2 linked regions of the Macaca mulatta genome follow. The protein of the gene in region 1 interacts with the protein of each later gene in a pairwise test. Links are inferred from orthologs where the notes say so. Each region holds a gene or a part of one and is shown on either strand. Other genes may lie near its edges. The genes, in order: NEIL2 and MEOX1.

Region 1 (3,807 bases):
CTTGCCTGAGTTTTATCTACTTTGTTGGTCTTTGAAATAAATAATATTAGCTTGCCAGGCATAGTGACTCCTGTCTGTAATCCCAGCACTTTGGGAGGCTGAGACAGGAGGATCACTTGTGCCCAGGAGTAAGAGACCAGCCTGGGCAACATAGTGAAGACCCTGTTTCTACAAAAAATAAAAATAAAATTAGGCCGGGCGCGGTGGCTCAAGCCTGTAATCCCAGTACTTTGGGAGGCCGAGGTGGGTGGATCACGAAGTCAGGAGATCGAGACCATCCTGGCTAACATGGTGAAACCCCGTCTCTACTAAAAATACAAAAAACTAGCTGGGCGTGGTGGCGGGCGCCTGTAGTCCCAGCTACTCGGAGGCTGAGGCAGGAGAATGGCGTAAACCCGGGAGGCGGAGCTTGCAGTGAGCCGAGATCGCGCCACTGCACTCCAGCCTGGGTGACACAGCGAGACTCCGTCTCAAAAAAAAAAAAATAAATAAAATAAAATAAAATAAAATTAACCAGGTATGGTGGTGCATACCTGTAGTCCCAGCTACTTGGGAGGCTGAAGTGGGAGGGTAGTTTGAGCCAGGGAGGTTGAGACTGCAGTGGGCTGTGATTGTGCCACTACACTCCAGCCTGGGCAACAGAGTGAGACCCTGTCTCCAAATAAATAAATAAATAAAATTAGCTTTATATATCCTTTCTATATGGAAAGGATATATGGAATATTGAAAATATTAGGTCAAGTGTGGTGGCTCACACCTGTAATCCCAGCACTTTAGAGGCCAAGGTAGGTGGATCACCTGAGGTCAGGAGTTTGAGACCAGCCTGGCCAACATGATGAAACCCCATCTCTACTAAAAGTACAAAAAATTAGCCAGGTATGGTGGTATACACCTGTAATCCCAGCTACTCGGGAGGCTGAGGCAGGAGAATCGCCTGAACCTAGGAGGCAGAGATTGCAGTGAGCCAAGATAGTGCCACTGCACTCCAGCCTGGTGATAAGAATGAAACTCCATCTCAAAAAAAAAATTATAAGTCAAAAATGCGTCTAATATGCCTAGCCTACCAAACATCCTGGCTTAGCCTAACCTACCTTATATGTGCTCAGAACAATTACATTAGCCTACAGTTGGGCAAAATCATCTAACACAAAGCTTGTTTTATAAAATGTTGAATATCTCATGTAATTTATTGAATACTGCACTGAAAAGAAAGGTTTTATAGGTACTCAAAGTATGGCTTTTACTGAGTGTGCATTGATTTTGTACCATTATAAAATCAAAAATTAAAAGTGAACCATTGTAAGTCAGGGATGTGTGTATGTGTGTATGATCCAACCATAGAGTGTGCTCTGACTATATCAACCTCAACATCATGGTAACGATGTGGGGATGTGTGTATGTGTGTATGATCCGACCACAGAGTGTGCTCTGACTATATCATGGTAACGATGTGGGGATGTGTGTATGTGTGTATGATCCGACCACAGAGTGTGCTCTGACTACATTGTGGTAACGATGTGGGGATGTGTGTATGATCCAGCCACAGAGTGTGCTCTGACTATATCGTGGTAACAGTGTGGGGATGTGTGTATGTGTGTATGATTCAACCATAGAGTGTGCTGTGACTATATCATGGTAACGATGTGGGGATGTGGGGATGTGTGTATGATCCGACCACAGAGTGTGCTCTGACTATGTTGTGAGAGCGATGTGTACATATGACCTGTTCTTTCTTCCCAGGTTGGTCCTGTACTTTGGTGGTGGTGGCTTCCTGGCATTTTATAATTGTCAGATGTCTTGGAGCTCTTCCCCCGTGGTCACACCCGCCTGTGACATCCTGTCTGAGAAGTTCCATCGAGGACAAGCCTTAGAAGCTCTAGGCCAGGCGCAGCCTGTCTGCTATACACTGCTGGACCAGAGATACTTCTCAGGGCTAGGTATGACTCATGGGAAAGGGGTGAGTCCACAGACTTGCTTCATGGAAAAGTCGCTCCTGTGGGAGTCACAAGACCTGAGGCCCACCCTAGTTGTGCCAGTGCTGTTGGTCTTGAGGTGCCACTTGCTTAATCTCCTTTGTTTTACTTCCCTTGTTTTTAGACTGAGGGCATTAGATCAGGCAGTTTTTAGCTTGTCTCTGGGCTTCAGAATCCACACCCTAACTGTGTTATCAGTTGTGAGCCTTCTGCCAGCAGCGCTGGAACATCGCCTCCTAAAGGGCAGGGTCATGTCTTGGGCACCTCTGTACCCTCCACAGCACAGTGCAGTGCCTGGCACACAGGAGGTGCCTGACCCGTATCTGTAGGGACTGAAGTCGTGCAGGCTACTACCAGAGGAGTGAGTGCACGTTCTAAGGGATGCTGCTCTTGGGTGGATGCACAGATGACTCAGTCTACACTGGGTTCTTACAAGACGAGTGAAGAAGAGTTTCCCTCTCTCTATTGCAGTGGCATGAGCAGTGAAACCGTGAGCGTTTCAGGATAGGGAGAAGAGAGGAACAATTTCAAAAATACATGTAACAGCTAATTAGCTGGACTATGAGAGCGTGCCATTCTTATTACCCACAGCAGGGGAATAATTGTGCCCAAAATTGGCTGCTGAAGCAATCAGGCAAGTTGGTGGTGACAGAGTCACCTCCATATCCAACATGTGGCTTTGCTGCCTGCTCACCTCCCCTCACGAGGGTCAGAGAAGGCCCGGTGGTGCACCAGGCACTAGCCTTGCATTTTCATGTTAGGACCATGGGAGTCCCTGTGCCCTCAGGAGCAAAGAGCCATCGGAAGTGGCTTTTTGGGTATATGTGGCAAGAGCTAATAAAGTAACAGTAGTAATTAATAATGGCCAGTGTTTTCCAAGCAGCTCTGATGTGCCAGGCACATGTTTTTGTCCTTAGTGCTGTTCCATAGGATGGTTATAGTGGGTTTCCCTTCCTTCAGATGAGGAAACTGAAGCAGAGAACGCATCTCTAGTACACGGTGCAGCTGAGATGTGAATCCAGGTATTCTGTCAACGAATTCTGGAGAGATCGATGTGTGTAATGAGGAGTGTGACTATGAGGCTCTTGGAAAAAGCAAGAATTTCCTTCACCTGCTCACTCCAAACACACAGACACTCACTTGACCTCTGTCACGCTCACCATCTCTCCTTAAGGAGATCATTGTTTAATGTCCCAGCAAGCACAGACTCAGTCCACTGCGAGTTAGGAAAGATTGCTATGAATGCCTGGTGGAGCTGAAAGAGTATGGTTGGAACATTCCAAAGAGAGTTACTGATTCTGGAAGGAGGGATCGAGGCTGGCTTCACAGAGAATGAGGCAGGAGTAGAAAAATCATAAGATAACACCTCCCCAAACACTTTCTACATAACGAGCATTATGCTTGGTATTTCATTTTATTTTATTTTTTGACACAGGGTCTCTCTCTGTCGCCCAGGCCGGAGTGCAGTGGCATAGACACAACCCACTGCAGCCTCAACCTCTGTGGCTCAAGCGATCCTCCCACCTCAGCCTCCTGAGTAGCTGGGACTACAGGTGCATGACACCACGTCTCACTAACTTTTAAAATTTTTGTAGAGACAGGCTCTCACTATGTTGCCCAGCTGGTCTTCAACTTGTGGGCTCAAGCGATCCTCCTGCCTCTGCCTCCCGAAGTGCTGGGATAACAGGCATGAACCACTGTGCCTAGCTATGCTTGACATTTTGTTTTTAATTAAAAAAAAATTTTTTTTTGAGACAGTCTCGCCCTGTTGCCCAGGCTGGAGTGCAGTGGCACAATCTCAGATTACTGCAACCTCTGCCTCCCAGTTCAAACG
Region 2 (4,534 bases), on another chromosome or scaffold:
TCTATATTAAAGGCAAGTCGTGGCTTCATTCCACATCCCTGGGTGCCCTTCCACTCTTCCTAGGAGCATCTCCTGCACCCACCCCCCAGGGCCCCACCTCCAGGCTGCAGAGCTAAGACCCAGGGGCCCCTCCTCAGGGAACCCTGGCCGTCTTCGGAAGCAGCCAGCAGAGACGCTGCTGTTAAGGCCCATGCCTGTTTCTGCTCCAATCCTGCTGCCCTGGGTTGTGGCAATAACCAGTGGGGAAGGAGTTCTGGCCCCTGGGTGTTAGGAATGTTGTCCTCCAAGAAATTGCATTAACCCTCTGAGAGACCAGCAGGGTGCAGCCATGAGAAAGACTGATTGGGCATCGAGATGGCACTTGGGCTGGCTGCCCTGTGATGTGCACCAGCCCGGAGACCCACGTGCCTGCTTGCCAAAGAGGCTCCTCTGGGGAATGAGGAGCCCCTGATTCCTATTTCCCTGCCCCAAATTCCTCGGAAGCCTCCGCCTCTAAGGGTTGAGAAAGGGAAGCAGGTGGGTGGAGGTGAAGGGGGCAGGGAGCAGGTGGGAGGAGACCCGAAGAAACTTCAAGGACCTTATTTAAGAGCCTTGCCATTGCTGTGAAGAAAAATGACTTGAAACCTCTCTAGAGAAGACTGTGGCTAATTGGCATGTAAGTTGGAGGTTAAAGAGCGGAAGGAAGAATCTGATTGTTTTTTTAAGTTACTGAGAAAGTGAGAATGTCACTCTGGGCAGAGAGAAATTCTTTTTTTCTAGAGTGTGCCTTTCTTTATACTACAGACCATAGTGGGCCGCTGAGACTTGCAAAAAAGATTTCTTTTAATCCACCTTCCTTTTTCGCAGGCAGCAGTAGAAGGGCCTTTAAATCAAATGCAATCACCAAGCTTGTCTCTTGCTTTTATTCCTCACTTCACTCCCTGGAATTTGGCATTTGACGGATTCTGGATCTGACTTAAGGCTTTTTCTAAATCCAAGACTTGGGGAATTTTGTTAGCAGTGCAATAAAAATAACTTCATAGTGTTACAGGAGGCACATTAAAGACGGTGTGTGTGTGTGTGTGTGTGTGTATGTGTGCGCGCGCGCGCGCGCGTGAGTGCTGCTTTCTTTAAAATAAAAAAAAAATACAGACAATGTTTCTTTAAAAGTCTCCATCTGCAAATCCCATTAGATGTGCATATAAGGTTTCTGATGATTAATAGTTGCCTGCTAGGGTTTTGGTTGGAGGGGATCTTGTGTGTGCGGGTTAACCCCTCCCTCTCCTCTCTCACATTTCACTTCAGAAATTTGTCACTCTCTCCCCACCGCAGGATTTAAAGTGTGTCCCAGCAGCCCTGGTCCAGCCCTCTGCAGGCATTTGCTCTGGGCTCCAGGACGAGCTCCTCCTCAGCTGGTGCTTCTGGGTTGGGACAGTGAAAATGTTTAGTGTCACTGGCGACAAATACACGTACAGGGGACCCCAGTAGGCAGGCTGGTGCATTGGAGGGGCAGGAGCAAGCCCAATATAGGTGTGTGCACACACATAGGAGTAGCTGGCCACATGTGTGTGTACTTTAAGGAGAGACTTTAGTTTAGTTTTTTTTTTTTTTTTTTTTGGTTCCTGGGGTAAATTTTCTGTTGAATATTTTTCCCTCCTATTTAATTTTTTTTCTTTTGCATTTTTAAAAATTTGAACATAAAAAGTATAAAGAATCAAATCTTTGAAAGGACTGAGGCGTGCAGCGGACAGCAGATGGATCCCCCGGCCAGCAGCTGCATGAGGAGCCTCCAGCCCCCAGCCCCTGTCTGGGGCTGCCTTCGAAACCCCCACTCAGAAGGCAATGGGGCCTCAGGGCTACCCCACTACCCGCCCACCCCGTTCTCCTTCCACCAGAAACCAGACTTCCCGGCGACAGCGACGGCAGCGTACCCCGACTTCTCAGCCTCCTGCCTGGCGGCCACCCCACACAGCCTGCCTCAGGAGGAGCGCATCTTCACTGAGCAGCACCCTGCTTTCCCACAGTCCCCCAACTGGCACTTCCCTGTCTCAGAGGCCCGGCGCAGGCCCAACTCAGGCCTGGCAGGGGGTTCCAAGGAAATGGGGACCAGCAGCCTGGGCCTGGTGGACACCACAGGAGGCCCAGGTGAGGACTACGGGGTGTTTGGGAGCACTGCCAATGAGACAGAGAAGAAATCATCCAGGCGGAGAAAGGAGAGTTCAGGTAGGTGGCTCAGGAGCAGCTGATCATTCCTTTACTGTGTGACCTTGGGGAAGTTACTCACCCTCTCTGTGCCTAGGTGCTCTGTCCATGAATTTCTGTCTAGCCTATCCAAATGCAGGAGACTGGACCAGTTACCTTTGGGGTTTCTTCCACTGAGAGTTCTAGGATTCTCTGGTGATGGGGACCGTGTCTGTGTCCCAGCACTCCTGGGCCCCAGGAAGGGTGTCCCAGCGAGAGAATGAAACAGGATCCGCAAGGATTTGGACACGTGAAATGGATCCTCTGGGTGCAGACTGGCGAGGGCTGGTGAGAGGCTTTCCTGCATCAGGCTGCCATTGAGTCATGCTCCTCCCCACCATGCTTTGGCCAGCCCCAAGTGGTGCTAGAGCCACAGGGCTCGTTTACCAGGGAAGTCAGCTGAGATTAAGGCTCTGAGAGCTAAGACTGAAGCTGGGACCCTGGGTGGCCACCCACAGCCAAGACCCTATGTGTCCAGGAGCCTAGAGGCAGAGAAGCAGGCCTGCAGCTGGATAGGAGAGTCCAGGGGTGAGGGGGAGATGGAGGACTGAGGTTTGGGGTATCACCCTGTGGAGCTGGGCCATGTCCAGGCCAAGGGGACAACTTAGCATGCTGAGATCTGGCTGAGCCCCCGGGAAGGCAGCCCCGCAAGGAACTGTGAGGGATGGGCAGCCTCCAGGAGAGTCAGGCAGCCAAGGGAGTCCGTGCTGGAGTCCCAGAGGCTGGAGGATGAGGTTGGCCTATTTGTTAAGATTCCAGCTGAAACCCTTCTCTTCCCCAGGGTGGGGACCTGCTGTTTCCTCACCTCCCCACCAGGCCCTCCCTGGTTTCTCACACTGCCTGTTCATCTTTTGTCTGGTTCCTCGTCCCGGCCTTGTTCGGAACAGGGCAGTGCCCAAGCCTCCTGCCCGCACTGCCCTGTTTTCCTCCTGACAGCTGCCCTCAGGGGCACGCCTGTCTGTCGGAGCCTGTAGACGACCTTCCCATGGGGCTAAGAAGGACAGGCCAGAAAAGAAGGGCACCAATGAACAGGTGGGAATGCTTTGTGCTTTGCTTTATCAGCACAGCTTTCCCGAGTTTCTGCTCTTAGCCAAGCCCAGGAATGCTCTGGGTGAGTAAAGGGGTCTTACCCAGAAAAGCTCAAGCTGAGAGGAAGAAGAGGCCGGCAGAGGTGTGTCAGCAGTGGGATGTGCCCTGATGGAGAGGCTTACGGTGCCATGGGATACCGACGTCAGCTCTTTTGAGTCCCACGGGTTTGGGAGATAGGGACAGCAGGTTTTATTAGTATCTCGATTCTCTCAATCTGCAAAATGAAAGACTGAAAGTTTGTGAGAACACAGAAAGAATGGGGTCAAAATAGAGTGAGCAGCTCATCTCCATTTGCCCAGGACTTTTCCAGTTTTAGCACTGAAAATCCTGTGTCCTGGGAAACCCCATGGTCCCAGGCAAACAGGAGAATTGGTCACTCTAGAAGTGAGCTCAAACCCCAGGCTTCAGGCCCCCGATGTCACACCCTTCAGTAGATTTCCAACGCAATCCTCATTTTGAAATGATGTTTGGTTTCCCTGCTTGAAGAAGCCCCTCAGTGAGCTCACAATGAGTAATAGGAACCCTAGCAGCCCTTGCGGCTGCTAAATAGAAGGGCCCTTTAAACCTCCAGCCAGTTAGATCCCCATCCCGCAAACTAACTCATCCTACCCCAGGTAGGAAATGTGCTAAGGATGAGAAGGGACTCTCAGCGACTTGACTCTGAGCTGGGTTGAAGAGCTTTCCCCTTGGTGGCGGCACCCGGCACCGTGGCTCCTTCCTCTCTGCCACTTTCCAGGGAACTGAGAGCCAAGGGCATTGAAAAGGGATAGCAAAGCCAAGAGCCTGCTGGGCTCAGGCAGAATCTTCCAGCATTCCGAGTCTCAGCAAAACCCAAATGCACCAGCTCTCTTTTTGGCAAGTGACCGATGGCCCTGCAATGCAGAGAGAGCATTCACGCTAAGCAGCTGGCCACCCAGGAGTACAGGGACACCCTCTGCTGAACGGCCTGCACACTTCAGAGTCAGACTTTGGTGGAGGGAGGTTCCCATCCGCAGAGGCCCTGGGCTTCCCTAAGGGTCCCCTCGGGAGCACCAGTAGCAGGTGAGGCAGGGCCCAGAAAGCTGACTCTCACTCATCCCTCTGTGATTCCAGACAAACTCGCTGTTCAGCATGGAAATCTTTATTGCTCAGATGCTTGAGACCTCCTTTGGAATTTAACTCAAGGGGAGGAAGGAGGCAAGAAATATCAGCTTCATAAGAGCCCAAAGAAGGGGGAAAGCGACCC

Evidence for each region.
Region 2: the proteins of NEIL2 (region 1) and MEOX1 interact in binary tests that used the Homo sapiens proteins (3 or more experiments, as listed by UniProt). The two-hybrid records come from large-scale screens. The link is inferred for Macaca mulatta from reciprocal best matches to the Homo sapiens genes NEIL2 and MEOX1.

The regions. Positions count from the first base shown.
Region 1 is NC_133413.1:9,503,648-9,507,454, reverse strand, and holds part of NEIL2 (endonuclease 8-like 2), read left to right. Parts: intron 1-1,740; coding exon 1,741-1,937; exon of another isoform or gene 1,938-3,484; intron 3,485-3,619; exon of another isoform or gene 3,620-3,716; intron 3,717-3,807. UniProt on the Homo sapiens protein: Involved in base excision repair of DNA damaged by oxidation or by mutagenic agents. Has DNA glycosylase activity towards 5-hydroxyuracil and other oxidized derivatives of cytosine with a preference for mismatched double-stranded DNA (DNA bubbles).
Region 2 is NC_133421.1:68,004,928-68,009,461, reverse strand, and holds the start of MEOX1 (homeobox protein MOX-1), read left to right. Parts: upstream 1-1,589; 5' UTR 1,590-1,733; coding exon 1,734-2,202; intron 2,203-2,598; exon of another isoform or gene 2,599-4,534. UniProt on the Homo sapiens protein: Mesodermal transcription factor that plays a key role in somitogenesis and is specifically required for sclerotome development. Required for maintenance of the sclerotome polarity and formation of the cranio-cervical joints.